Linked DNA regions of Canis lupus familiaris. The protein of the gene in region 2 purifies or fractionates together with the protein of the main gene of each other region. This does not show direct contact. Links are inferred from orthologs where the notes say so. Each region holds a gene or a part of one and is shown on either strand. Other genes may lie near its edges.

The links.
Region 1: the proteins of PSMA2 (region 2) and UBE3A purify together in Homo sapiens (affinity purification with mass spectrometry; 4 studies listed by BioGRID, with this or other methods). This does not show direct contact. The link is inferred for Canis lupus familiaris from reciprocal best matches to the Homo sapiens genes PSMA2 and UBE3A.
Region 3: the proteins of PSMA2 (region 2) and PSMF1 purify together in Homo sapiens (affinity purification with mass spectrometry; 3 studies listed by BioGRID and IntAct, with this or other methods). This does not show direct contact. The link is inferred for Canis lupus familiaris from reciprocal best matches to the Homo sapiens genes PSMA2 and PSMF1.

What each region holds. Positions count from the first base shown.
Region 1 is NC_049224.1:35,738,461-35,742,115, reverse strand, and holds part of UBE3A (ubiquitin-protein ligase E3A), read right to left. Parts: intron 1,698-3,655; coding exon 1,554-1,697; intron 573-1,553; coding exon 452-572; 3' UTR 1-451. UniProt on the Homo sapiens protein: E3 ubiquitin-protein ligase which accepts ubiquitin from an E2 ubiquitin-conjugating enzyme in the form of a thioester and transfers it to its substrates.
Region 2 is NC_049239.1:7,336,629-7,340,283, reverse strand, and holds part of PSMA2 (proteasome subunit alpha type-2), read right to left. Parts: intron 3,613-3,655; coding exon 3,490-3,612; exon of another isoform or gene 2,769-3,489; coding exon 2,687-2,768; exon of another isoform or gene 2,143-2,686; intron 1,197-2,142; coding exon 1,123-1,196; intron 1-1,122.
Region 3 is NC_049245.1:20,365,507-20,369,261, reverse strand, and holds the start of PSMF1 (proteasome inhibitor PI31 subunit), read left to right. Parts: upstream 1-945; 5' UTR 946-1,103; intron 1,104-3,755. UniProt on the Homo sapiens protein: Plays an important role in control of proteasome function. Inhibits the hydrolysis of protein and peptide substrates by the 20S proteasome. Also inhibits the activation of the proteasome by the proteasome regulatory proteins PA700 and PA28.

The DNA.
Region 1 (3,655 bases), on a different chromosome or scaffold from region 2:
TACAAATGGTGGCAATATTTTCCTTGGGAGAGTAGTTTTGTTGGTATATATTTTTTAAATACTCAAAAAGGCTCAACTTCAAGCAGTAATAAACACAAGCAAAAGTGATTTAACCCTTAAAATAAATATTCAGAAAAACCTCTCTGTACATACAAGTGAAAGAATAAGTAACACTTTCACGCAAAAAAAAAAAAAAATAATAATAATAAAGGATTTGTTCATATAAGTAGCTGAAATCTGCTGTTCCAGCCCACATATCCCCAATAAAGAAGGGAGGCACAGACATAGGTGACTACTGTGGTTCACTATCTTACAGCCTGTTTGTACTGGGACACTATCACCACCAATTTTATCCCTCATTATATTTATTAAAATTTTAAATTTCTTTTTCCTTTTTTTTCTTTTTCTTTTTCTTTTCTTTTCTTTCTTTTTTTTTTTTTTTTTTTTTTTTTTACAGCATGCCAAATCCTTTGGCGTAAGTGATGGCCTTCAACAATCTTTCTTTAAGTTTTTCTTTGCTTGAATATTCCGGCAGTAAAAGGACATTAAAGCAAGTATGAGATGTAGGTAACCTAAATAGGGAGAAGGGGGGGAAAATAGGAAAATAAATCATGGGGAACATGCTCATCATTAAAAAGTCCTACTTTTAGATTGTACCTGTAGTTGAGACGGTTTGCAATGCAGAGTACACGTTAATGCAACTCAAACTTTTTGCTTTTTGTGTACAGCTATCAAGTATCAGTTTGTCTTTATCTTATATATTACTCAATACTGATGATAATGAAGATGGTGATGACTGATGATAACATATTGTATCCACTGAATTATGACAAACCAGACATTGTTTCAGGTATTTAACTGTTAGATCTCACTTAACTAAATCTTCTCACAATAAACCTATCATTATTCCCACTACAGAGCTGACATCACTGAGAAGCAAATTTACTCTAAAGTGGAGAGAATACCCAAATTTGGTTTTTAAGATTTCAAAGTCTGTGTTCTTTAATGCCAGTCAGAAATATTCTTGGCAATATGTTATATAAATGACTTAATAACAAATATAAACAAATTTACATTAAAGTCATCAAATAATACATCAAATAATATGGAATGCTAATAGAAATAAAGAAGGGAGGCACAGACATTTCTATATATTTCTATATATTTAAACCCTCAAATATACTACTGTTCATGAATGATCCTTACTCAACAAAAACATTAACTTATATAATAGAGAACAAATTAAATGCCAAGATTATGAAATTGGATTCAAATGTTAAGATTATGAAACCTAGTGCTGAACAATTTTCCAAGCCTCAATTCAACCATTTTTAAATAGAATACATAATAAGGTCTTGAATTTAAAAATTATGAACTAAAAATTGAATCATATCAATTTGCAAAATTTTAAATCAAGTGAGCTCTGTAATAGTTTTGAAATAGGCCAGTGTGTTAAAAATTTCCTCAAACAGTAATAGAAAAACACTCTCTGAACTAATATTTCATGTGATTTGGATAATTCTATGTAAAACTACAAAAAAATTAATAATTACCTTTCTGTGTCTGGGCCATTTTTGGCTATAATCATCTTTAATTTTCCTAGTCCGCCCACAGGTGCTCTGTCTGTGCCTGTTGTAAACTGCAAGAAGAGTCTTTTCTGCTCATCTGTAAATGAATGAACGATTTCCCAGAACTCTCTGAGAAAAGACAGAATACTGATTTTAGTTTGGCATTCATTTATAACTAGCACTAATAAGAGTTTATGATTTATTAAAACCATATTACAGAGATAACTTGGAAATTAATATCAGAAATCCTGAACATTCATTCCTGGTAATCAAGGATCTACAAATTACTTATACTAATTAATCTTACTGAAACACTTAAAAACATATAAGAGTAATCCACTGCTGCATTATTTAGAATGGTAAAAACTGATAAACCTAAGTGTCCAACAACAGGAAGTAATTATATAAACTATGGTATACTCATAATATATAATCAGCAGCAAACAAAAGACCAAATCCAAAACCCAAATCCTGCGAATTGAAAATACAAGATTTTGGCGGGAAAAGGTGATACAGATTAAGGACAAAATACAGAGAAACACACGTCTAATAGTACTAATCCAAAAGCATACTTTTAAAAAATAAACTTGAACACTTTTGATTTTGTGTACTGTAGAAGTGCGGATGGGGGATAATTCTGATATTTCTGCTATATGCAATTATTTTAAGAGAATGAGTTAGTCCCTGGCATTCCTAAAATCTATGTGATAAAAGTCATGTTGTTATAATGATGCTTGTTATACTCACACCAAAAACAAAATGCAGTACATTAAGAGCAATCTTGACTTGCTTGTTTGAATAATGATGTATCCATAAATTTAACATATACACTAATTCTCAGCTAAAAAAATTTCAAGATTTCAGAAAAAAATTGACAATGTTACTTAGTCAAAGGATAATTTTAATATTTATTTGAAAAGCTCTTTCCGGAATCTTAGCAGAGAATATCACACTTCCTACATGTGTAATTATAATTCTAGTTTTTGATATTCTAGTATTCCAGTATACAATTTCTATTATTAAAATGCAGGCATTTTTGTTGGTACAATGCCAATTCTTCTGACATGAGCTAGCAGCTTTATTAGATTTTTCGGCTCTCTTCAATGTCTTTCTGCTTCTTTTCCCTGACAGTCTAACATCCTCCCCCACCCCTCAGTTCTGGCAAACTTCTCATTCACCTAGAGAAACAACAGAGAACTATATCATAATCACAGGAAGTAAGACATGGAATATCCAGGTGCCTCTTTCAGGAGGACAAAATCGTTCCATAGTCTAGATCACTCCTTTTGGGTGGCTGACAAGAAAAAATAAGTCTCCTGTATGCCAGAGCTTCTGTCAGGGCCGCAGAGCTGCCCTACAAATGAGTGGTAATCAGGTTTTCTCACATTGTAGGAGGGCTCTGAATCCTAACCGAATCAGACACAGGCAGAGAGATAGGACCCTGACCAGTCTGTTTATATTCTTTGTTTATTTATTAGGAATGCAACTATTCAGAAAACTGAAAAAGAGGCTTCTGTATTTCTACCTAAGTCATATGTATGAATCACATTCCATCTACCTCTCTTAAAACTTATGCAGATTAAAATGCAGCGAAAAATCCAATAAAAACACCCATAACTTAAGTTTAGATTAAAACTAGGAAGAAAGAGTGGCAAACTCCCAACTGACACATAAGTTGAGAGTATGAATACCTGAGCCTGAACTAGTAGAGTCCTACAGGAGCAATATGGAAGAGGAGGGTGTGCATAACAATACCGGTTAGAGTTCACCCCGAAAGGGCAGAGCTCTACCCCAAGAGTGTGAACAACTAAGGACAGATAAGAGCAGATAAAGAATCATGTCTTTATAGAGAATAAAAGTGCGCCAAAGATCTGCCAACAAAACACATGAAAACTGTAAACAGATTTCAAATTAAGGTAAAAAAAATTTTAAGTCATAGTAGAGGCTATGAAAGGACAATTAAGTCAGAAACATAACTAAAACTGAAGAAAAGATCTTGAAAGGTATGACAGGAGCAGGGGATAACTGGAAATACAAAGAAAAGAAATCATATCAGATGGAGGAAACTAAAACTGAACTAGAGGAAC
Region 2 (3,655 bases):
TCTTTTAGTCCATTCACTGAAATAAGCTGTCCCCAAATAAGAAACTGACAATTATTTGACATGCATTCCTATCATGAAGCTTGTAACCATAACAGGAGTATAAATATTTTAATGTAATCAGAATGTGGTGGCAATATGGTAATTGTTTTAAATAAAGAAATCAGACCTTTGCTAAAATTTCTTTTATTTTTTTCTTAGAAATGTTTAAAGGCTCACTATTAAGGTGCTTTAAAAAAAGATTTTAGAATTATTTAAATTTACCAATTAACCTCAGGTTTAAGATTTTTAGTAATTTTTTTTCCTTAAAGGTTTTATTCATTTATTTGAGAGAAAGAGACAGAGATACTGAGATAAAGCATAAGTAGGGAAGAGAGGAAGAAGCAGGCTCCCCACTGAGCAGGAAGCCTGCCATGGGGCTCGATCCCAGGACCCCGAGATTATGACCTGAGCCGAAGGCAAATGCTTAACCAACTGAGCCCCCCACGTGCCCCAATTTTTAGTAATCTCAACATTATGTGAAAAATGTACTGAGAAGGTTCATCTGTGGGTTACAGGCAATTACAAACTTCTGCCATTCGAAATGTAGACATGCTTTGGGCTACTAATGCTGAGTCTGAATACAGCTGGAAGGAAGAGCAATTTGTTGTGCTAGGGTAGTGACAGCGGAGTTTTACATAATTCCTCACTATTTCTCAAGCACATACATCATATATTTAATCTACCATGAATACCAGGTATTTGGCTTCACAATTATTTTCTATAATTGCTATACTGTAAACTGTTATCACTTAACTCACTTAAACTTTCCTCCCACATTCTTTACTCCAAATCTTTTTAGATTATAGGAGGAGAAACAAAGTCAAAATAGAAACAACATTTAGGAAACAACTGTAAGAATGAAGAAAATTTCTTAAAAAATATATAATATTACCACTTAATATATTGAAGACCAGGGAGCCAAGGTGGAGAGAAGTTTTTGTTTATTTATAACCACACTATACAAATGAGTGTTTGAATATAAAGTAAAAAAAAAATCTGTTTATCAGATTCATGATATTAATTATTTAAAGAGAATTGAGAACCATAAAGTAAGCTTGCTCAATCTAGTTACCGTAAGCCTACCTTTTCTCAAGGAAAGTCTTCCCATTCACATAGTTCTTTCCCATTGCTGTGGCTTTCCAGGCAAAGTAAGCTCCCTAATCAGGAAGAGAAGACAACCATAAAACCATATTTTAAATCCTTAATCTAATTATAGCACCCTGCCATTTCTTTTTTTGTTCTATAAATTTGTATCTGACTTCTAAGTTCACAGAATATTTAGTGGAATGCAATGGATAATGTCAGAAAATAGGCTATTTTTAGAAAAGGAAAGTAACAAAGAGACATGAAGAAACTTCTGGAGGTTATGGAGGAACTTCAGTTATTTTGATTGTATTCAGGTATTTACACCTATCAAAACTCATCAAATTGTACACTCTGTATATGTGTAATTTATGGTACAATTTATGTGAAAAAGTCAGTTAAAGGAACAGGTTAACCTAAGGCAAATAAGCAAAAGTATTATTTCAGCTTACTAGGATGGTTGAAGGACTCTAATAAAAGTCTGATGAAAAACGGTGAGCAAGTCTTTATTATTGCTGGATAAATTAAAAAGAGGGCATTTCGTTAAAAATATTTCATAGTTTTGATATTTTGTAATCTAACGTTAAATGCAAACAGCAATTTATTTTATATAACATGGCCTAATCTACTGAAAAAATACATACACGCAAACACACAAGAAAAATACTGAAAGAAATATATCAAACATACTTTAAAAGAAATAACCGCCTTTTAGATAGAACGGAGGGAGAGGGCAAAAAAAAGAATCCTGGACCCCAGGGATGGTGCCTTCTGTTACCCCACTGGAAAGGAAGGGAAGAGGGTTTGTCATTTAGCTTCAGCAGCTCAGAAATGGGTAACAGACACTGTTACCTCCCAAAATGCTGCTCTCATTTAAGTAACAAACAACCAAAATATTTTTCTTTTCTTTTCCAGGCTACAAGGTTAGAGTGTAAGACTGACTCAGAGTGAACTTGCAGTTATTTCATGATCCACAAATTCTAAAAATTCCATTCCTAATCATGAAATTTTTTCTTCCAGTTTTCCTCATAGCAAATAGGATACTTTTGGAGCAGGAGTAGCATCTACGAACACCTTCTAACTCAGATACCTATCTTTTGCCTTAGAGGAGACAGACTCACCCACTTTGCAAAACATTGGCTTCAAGAGTTACATCTGTGTGTGTGTGCAGGAAGAGACATTGAAGTCAGCCCCAGGATTAAACAGATGGCAAGGAGTACAGCACTGTCCTCCAGACACAAAGCTTTCACCACATTTGTCAAAGTAACAAAATTCCACCGATTTAAAGAGATTTGATAACTATTTCAACAAATCATTCAAGTATGTGAAGTTAATGGATAAGAGAAAGCACCAGAACTGAGGGCAGAACTAGTGTACCCTTTTCATCAGAAGACTGAATTACCAACATTTTAAATATGGAAATGAATATACACTACTCCATAGTTCTAAAGTCCCAATGAATATGAAAAAAGGACGTACTGCTAAATTTTAAACTTTGTGGTCGTTTTTATTAGATGTGCAGAGTATTTTAACAAATCCCTCCAATATGTCTGATGATACTTACAGATGGATCTGACTGAAATAAATACGGTCGCCCCTCATTCCAACCACAAATTAGTAGGGAAACTCCAAATGGACGAACACCACTAAAGAAAAGAAAACATGAAATTATGGTGTGAAGTCAACCTAAGGATTTACTAATCCTCTTAAGTATTAATAAAGCAAATCATCAGGTAGAATGAATTAGACTTGGAAGTTCCTTAAAAAGTATTTCCTACCTTTCTGAACAAATCAATTCAAAATGAATTCTCTTTATGGTGCTAAGGAACATTAGTCAAATCATTTTGGTAAATGGAGGAACACAAATATTGGGGTTAGTTAAGTATGGAGTTAACATTCTGTGTCTTAACAGAATGACAACTTTCAACAAATGCAGCTTTTCCACTTGCTTTACGTATCAGCAACTCCCTTTATCCTACCTCATCCACATGTAGCCCAGATTCCAGAAAATTAAAAGAATATAGATGTGTCAGAGAGCTATTGCTTTCTTCATGTGCTTATAATCATTCTGGTTGGAAAGATAAATTTGGAAGCAGGAATAACTGCCTTCCCATAATTAAGTGTTTCAATCCCTGGGCTAAAGGACTTTATCTAGAAGCTGCCTTCTGCTATTGTGTTGACAGCAAGAAACCACTCTACTTTTTTCATTAAGAAAATATTCTAGATCCAACTGAGATTAGATATATTCATCAGAGTGATTTTCTTTACTTATTAAATAGAGCTAAGTCCTCTTTTTAAATATATTCACTCTTCTAAAACAGTTTCTTTTCTCTAATTCATGACACATTTCAAATAAAATCAACTTACCCTGACTGAGTGTATTCTTGCATCACTGAAGCTACTCTCTGTACCAGCTGAGCTGTGGGAATGGGTTCTTGGTAAACGAGATAGTATTGCTGAGCAAGTTTTCGAGCTCTGTGCACGAGCACTCTAACAGACAAGGAAGAAATAAGATTTCATTAAAACCTCTATA
Region 3 (3,755 bases), on a different chromosome or scaffold from region 2:
CATGGGGCACAGCCATGCGGCGAAGCAGTGTATGTCTATACTCTACTACACTATGCTATACCATCTGGCTCAAATCCTGACTGCATCACTTAGGAGCAATTGTACAACCTGACTGTGCTCACTCATCTCACTTTAAAACAAAGGTCATAATAGTTTCCACCTTAAAGAGTTAAGGGAATTAAATAAGATAAAATTGGCCAAATTGTCTGTTAAAGACTCAATACCATCCCCTTCTTGGGACACCTGGGTGGCTCAGAGGTTAAGTGTCTGCCTTCGGCCCAGGGCGTGATCCTGGAGCCCCGAGATCGAGTCCCACATCGGGCTCCCTGCGTGGAGCCTGCTTCTCCCTCTGCCGTGTCTCTGCCTCTCTCTCTCTCTGTGTCTTTCATGAATAAATAAATAAAATCTTAAAAAACAATACCATCCCCTTCCTACCCACCCTTTTCCAGAATGTCTTGCCAGCAGGATTCTGGGTTAGATCCAGCCAATGGGAGGCAGCAGAAGCACCTTATACCCTCTCCAATAGCAGTGGATCCAGAGTTTCAGTTCAGGTTTGCAGCCACTTCCTGCAGATTTCATCCTGAATACTGCCTTAGGACAAGAGGCAGCTGTGATCATTGCTGGTGCTCTCCTTCAGTTCCTGCAACTTCCAGACTCTCTGAAAGCTGAAGGTAGCTTTCCCTAATCTTTGCATTCCAACCCATCCAGTGGGTTCCAGTACTGAACACTACTAATCATAGAGGGATTCCTGGAGGAGGTGAGGGTGTTAGAATGATGCTAGGCCAAAAAAGCAGAAGGCCTACAGTATTGAATAACTCCATCTCGGTGCCCATTTGGGCCCTGCCCTTCCACTCACCTCTTCACAGTTTCCAGGGAGACAGTTTCCAGGGAGCTTGAGATCCTCACACTGCTGTCACTTGGCAACCAGATGCTGGTGGCTGCAGCCACCTCCCATGTTCTTTTCATCACCCTGAGCCCTCATCTCTGGCATGGGCTCTGCACTGCCCAGGTAGCAGGGGCCCACCTGGGGGAGGCATCTTCCATCTGCTTCCCTTCTCAGCCAATCACAGGCCTCACAGGGACAACCAAGACTCTTGATAGTGGTAAGTCCACAGAAAGTGCCAAATGGATGAAGGGCAGGACACAGACAACCCTCTGGTCCCAAAGGATCCTCTCATTTATTCTCATCCATGGAGGGCCCTGGGGTTCAGGGGTGGACAGAACACAGTACCAGCCTAAAGGGCACATAGCATAATGCAAGAGACAGAGCTTACCTCATTCTAGCAATACACGGGTGCCAGTATCTACTCCATGCTGAGTACTAGGACACAAACTACCAAAGGCATGGCTCGCCCTTGGGGAGGGGGGCTGGGGAATGAATAGCAGATGCCATGGTGTCCAGCTCACTTCTTAGCAGTCATCTCTAAGCACCAAAGGCTACTTCCTCTAAACTTTATGATTCTCTACCTGAGGGCTTTTCATGCCCCCCAGAAGCAGCCCTCAACGAGGGAGTGAAAAACAAAAAACAAAAAACAAAACAAAAAAACCTTATTTCTCTTACCCTCAGTCAGAACAAAACTGGGACATGTCTCTCCCAGAGTTGCTGGTCAGGACTGAGCTCAGGTGCCCAGAGGGACCTGGCTTCATCACATAACACCTAGTGGCTGCTTCCTAGTACACTTCTCTACCCTCTTGCTGCTATTTCCTAGAATCAGCTCCCAAATAAACCAGTCAAATCCCTGTCTCATGTTAGCTTCTCAGGGGACACTGACTAACACGGGGATGATGATGTATTACAGGGAACCAAAGTTCTGTGAGACTTAAGCTATAACCAATTGTCTGCAAAGCAGTGGCTGAACCACTAAGGATGGGTAAGGGAGCTATCTGCTATCTGCCCCGGTACAGGCAATGAGCGGGTGCATCTTTTGTAAGAAAGTTAAAAGTAATAATAAAACTGACCAGTCTGCTTTTAATTATAAACCAGCCATTCTAATGTTTCAATTATAAAATTCTCCTCCTCATCTCCTTCCCCTCCCCTGATGGCTCTTGACATCCCGTGCCTGTTCCTTAGCACCCCACTGATGCCAATTGAAGACAGAGAAATTGACTGTGGGCAGAGGAGATGGGGGAAGGCCTCACTCAAGAGGCAGCATTGATCTTCTATCACACAGTATTAGCCGCGTTTCACACCTCCATAACTTTGCATGTGCCAGTCCCTTCTATGGGGATACCATTTGTGCCTCAACTCCCTCCTACTCTTCCATCATGGTTTAGTGTAGTTGGGCACCTCCTCCTCCAAGAAGCCCTCCCTGACCCCGATCTGAATTAGATGTCTCCTCTGGGCTCACACAGACTTCCACGTGCCCCTATGTTATGATGGTCTTCACATTGGGTTCCTTTGTATATAATTTTCTTTATCTCTAGACAGTGGGCTCCATAGTGGCAGGAACTGGAGCTCGTTCACCTAAGCATTTAGGAATAGGGCTGCCATTGGGTGGGCACCTTTGTGCTGTGCACAGATTGCATCACCATCCGTGGTAACACAGCCTCTGGATATTTAGCAAATCAATAAATGAATGAGTGAGTGAATGGATTGGTGGAATTTTCAATAACTGGGGAAGGATACTTTTTTTTTATTGGAGTTCAATTTACCAACATATGGCATATCACCAAGTGCTCATCCCGTCAAGCGCCCCCCTCAGTGCCTGTCACCCAGTCTTCCCAACCCCCTGCCCACCTCCCTTTCCACTACCCCTTGTTTGTTTCCTAGAGTTAGGAGTCTCTCATGTTCTGTCACCCTCACTGATATTTTCACTCATTTTCTCTCCTTTCCCCTTTATTCCCTTTGGGGAAGGATACTTAAAGCAGAAGAGACAAAGCAAGCAAAAGCAGGGATGCTTAAAAGTGCAGAGCTTCTTAGTGGAAAGGGTAAACAGCTTTTAGGCCACAGGCAGTATATCTCAGGAGTCCACCAGCTTTAGCACCACCTAGATTGTGGTAAACATACCTGCACTCTACCTCAGACACTCAGAGTCTCTGCAGATGGGGTTCAGGAATCTGGGCGTCCCAGAGGAGTCCCAGGAACACAAAATTTGGAGCAGTATGGGGCCAGCTAACAAAGTGAGTGGTGAGCCACAAAGGGGTGAGACTGGCCCAGTTACGTCGAGCCCACACCAATAATTCATTCACTCAACATTCATTTACTCATTCATTCAATATGTATATGTTGAGCCAGGAAGGCACTTGAGTATACCTGTGCACTAGACAGACTTGCTCTCTGCTCCCTCGTCACAGTCTAATGGGAAGACAGTTATTAAATAAACAAGCAAACAAACAAATACCTGTTATAAGGTCAGGTTATGATTAATGCTTTGCAGGAAAGAAACCAGGATAAGGAAGGGATTAAAGAGTATTACACGTTATTTTGGATGGGTGTCAGGGAAGCCATCTGGGGAGGCCAGTAGGAGGTGAGAGAAAGAGTCACTTAAAATGAAGAAGTGAACCATGCAGATATTTGGGGAAAGAGCATTCCAGGCAGAGATAGCAGTAAAGGCAAAGACCTGGAGAACAGAACATGTGAAAGTGGAAGCCTGGTTAGGAAGCTACTGCAATCGTCCAAGTATGAGATGCCAGAGGATCAGACCAGAGTGGAGGCAGCAGAGGTGGTAGGAAGTGGTCAGATTCAGAATTCAGATTCAGACGGTAAAGTTGACTAGCTTTGCTTTTGAATTTGTGGGCACGAGAGGACAGAAGTC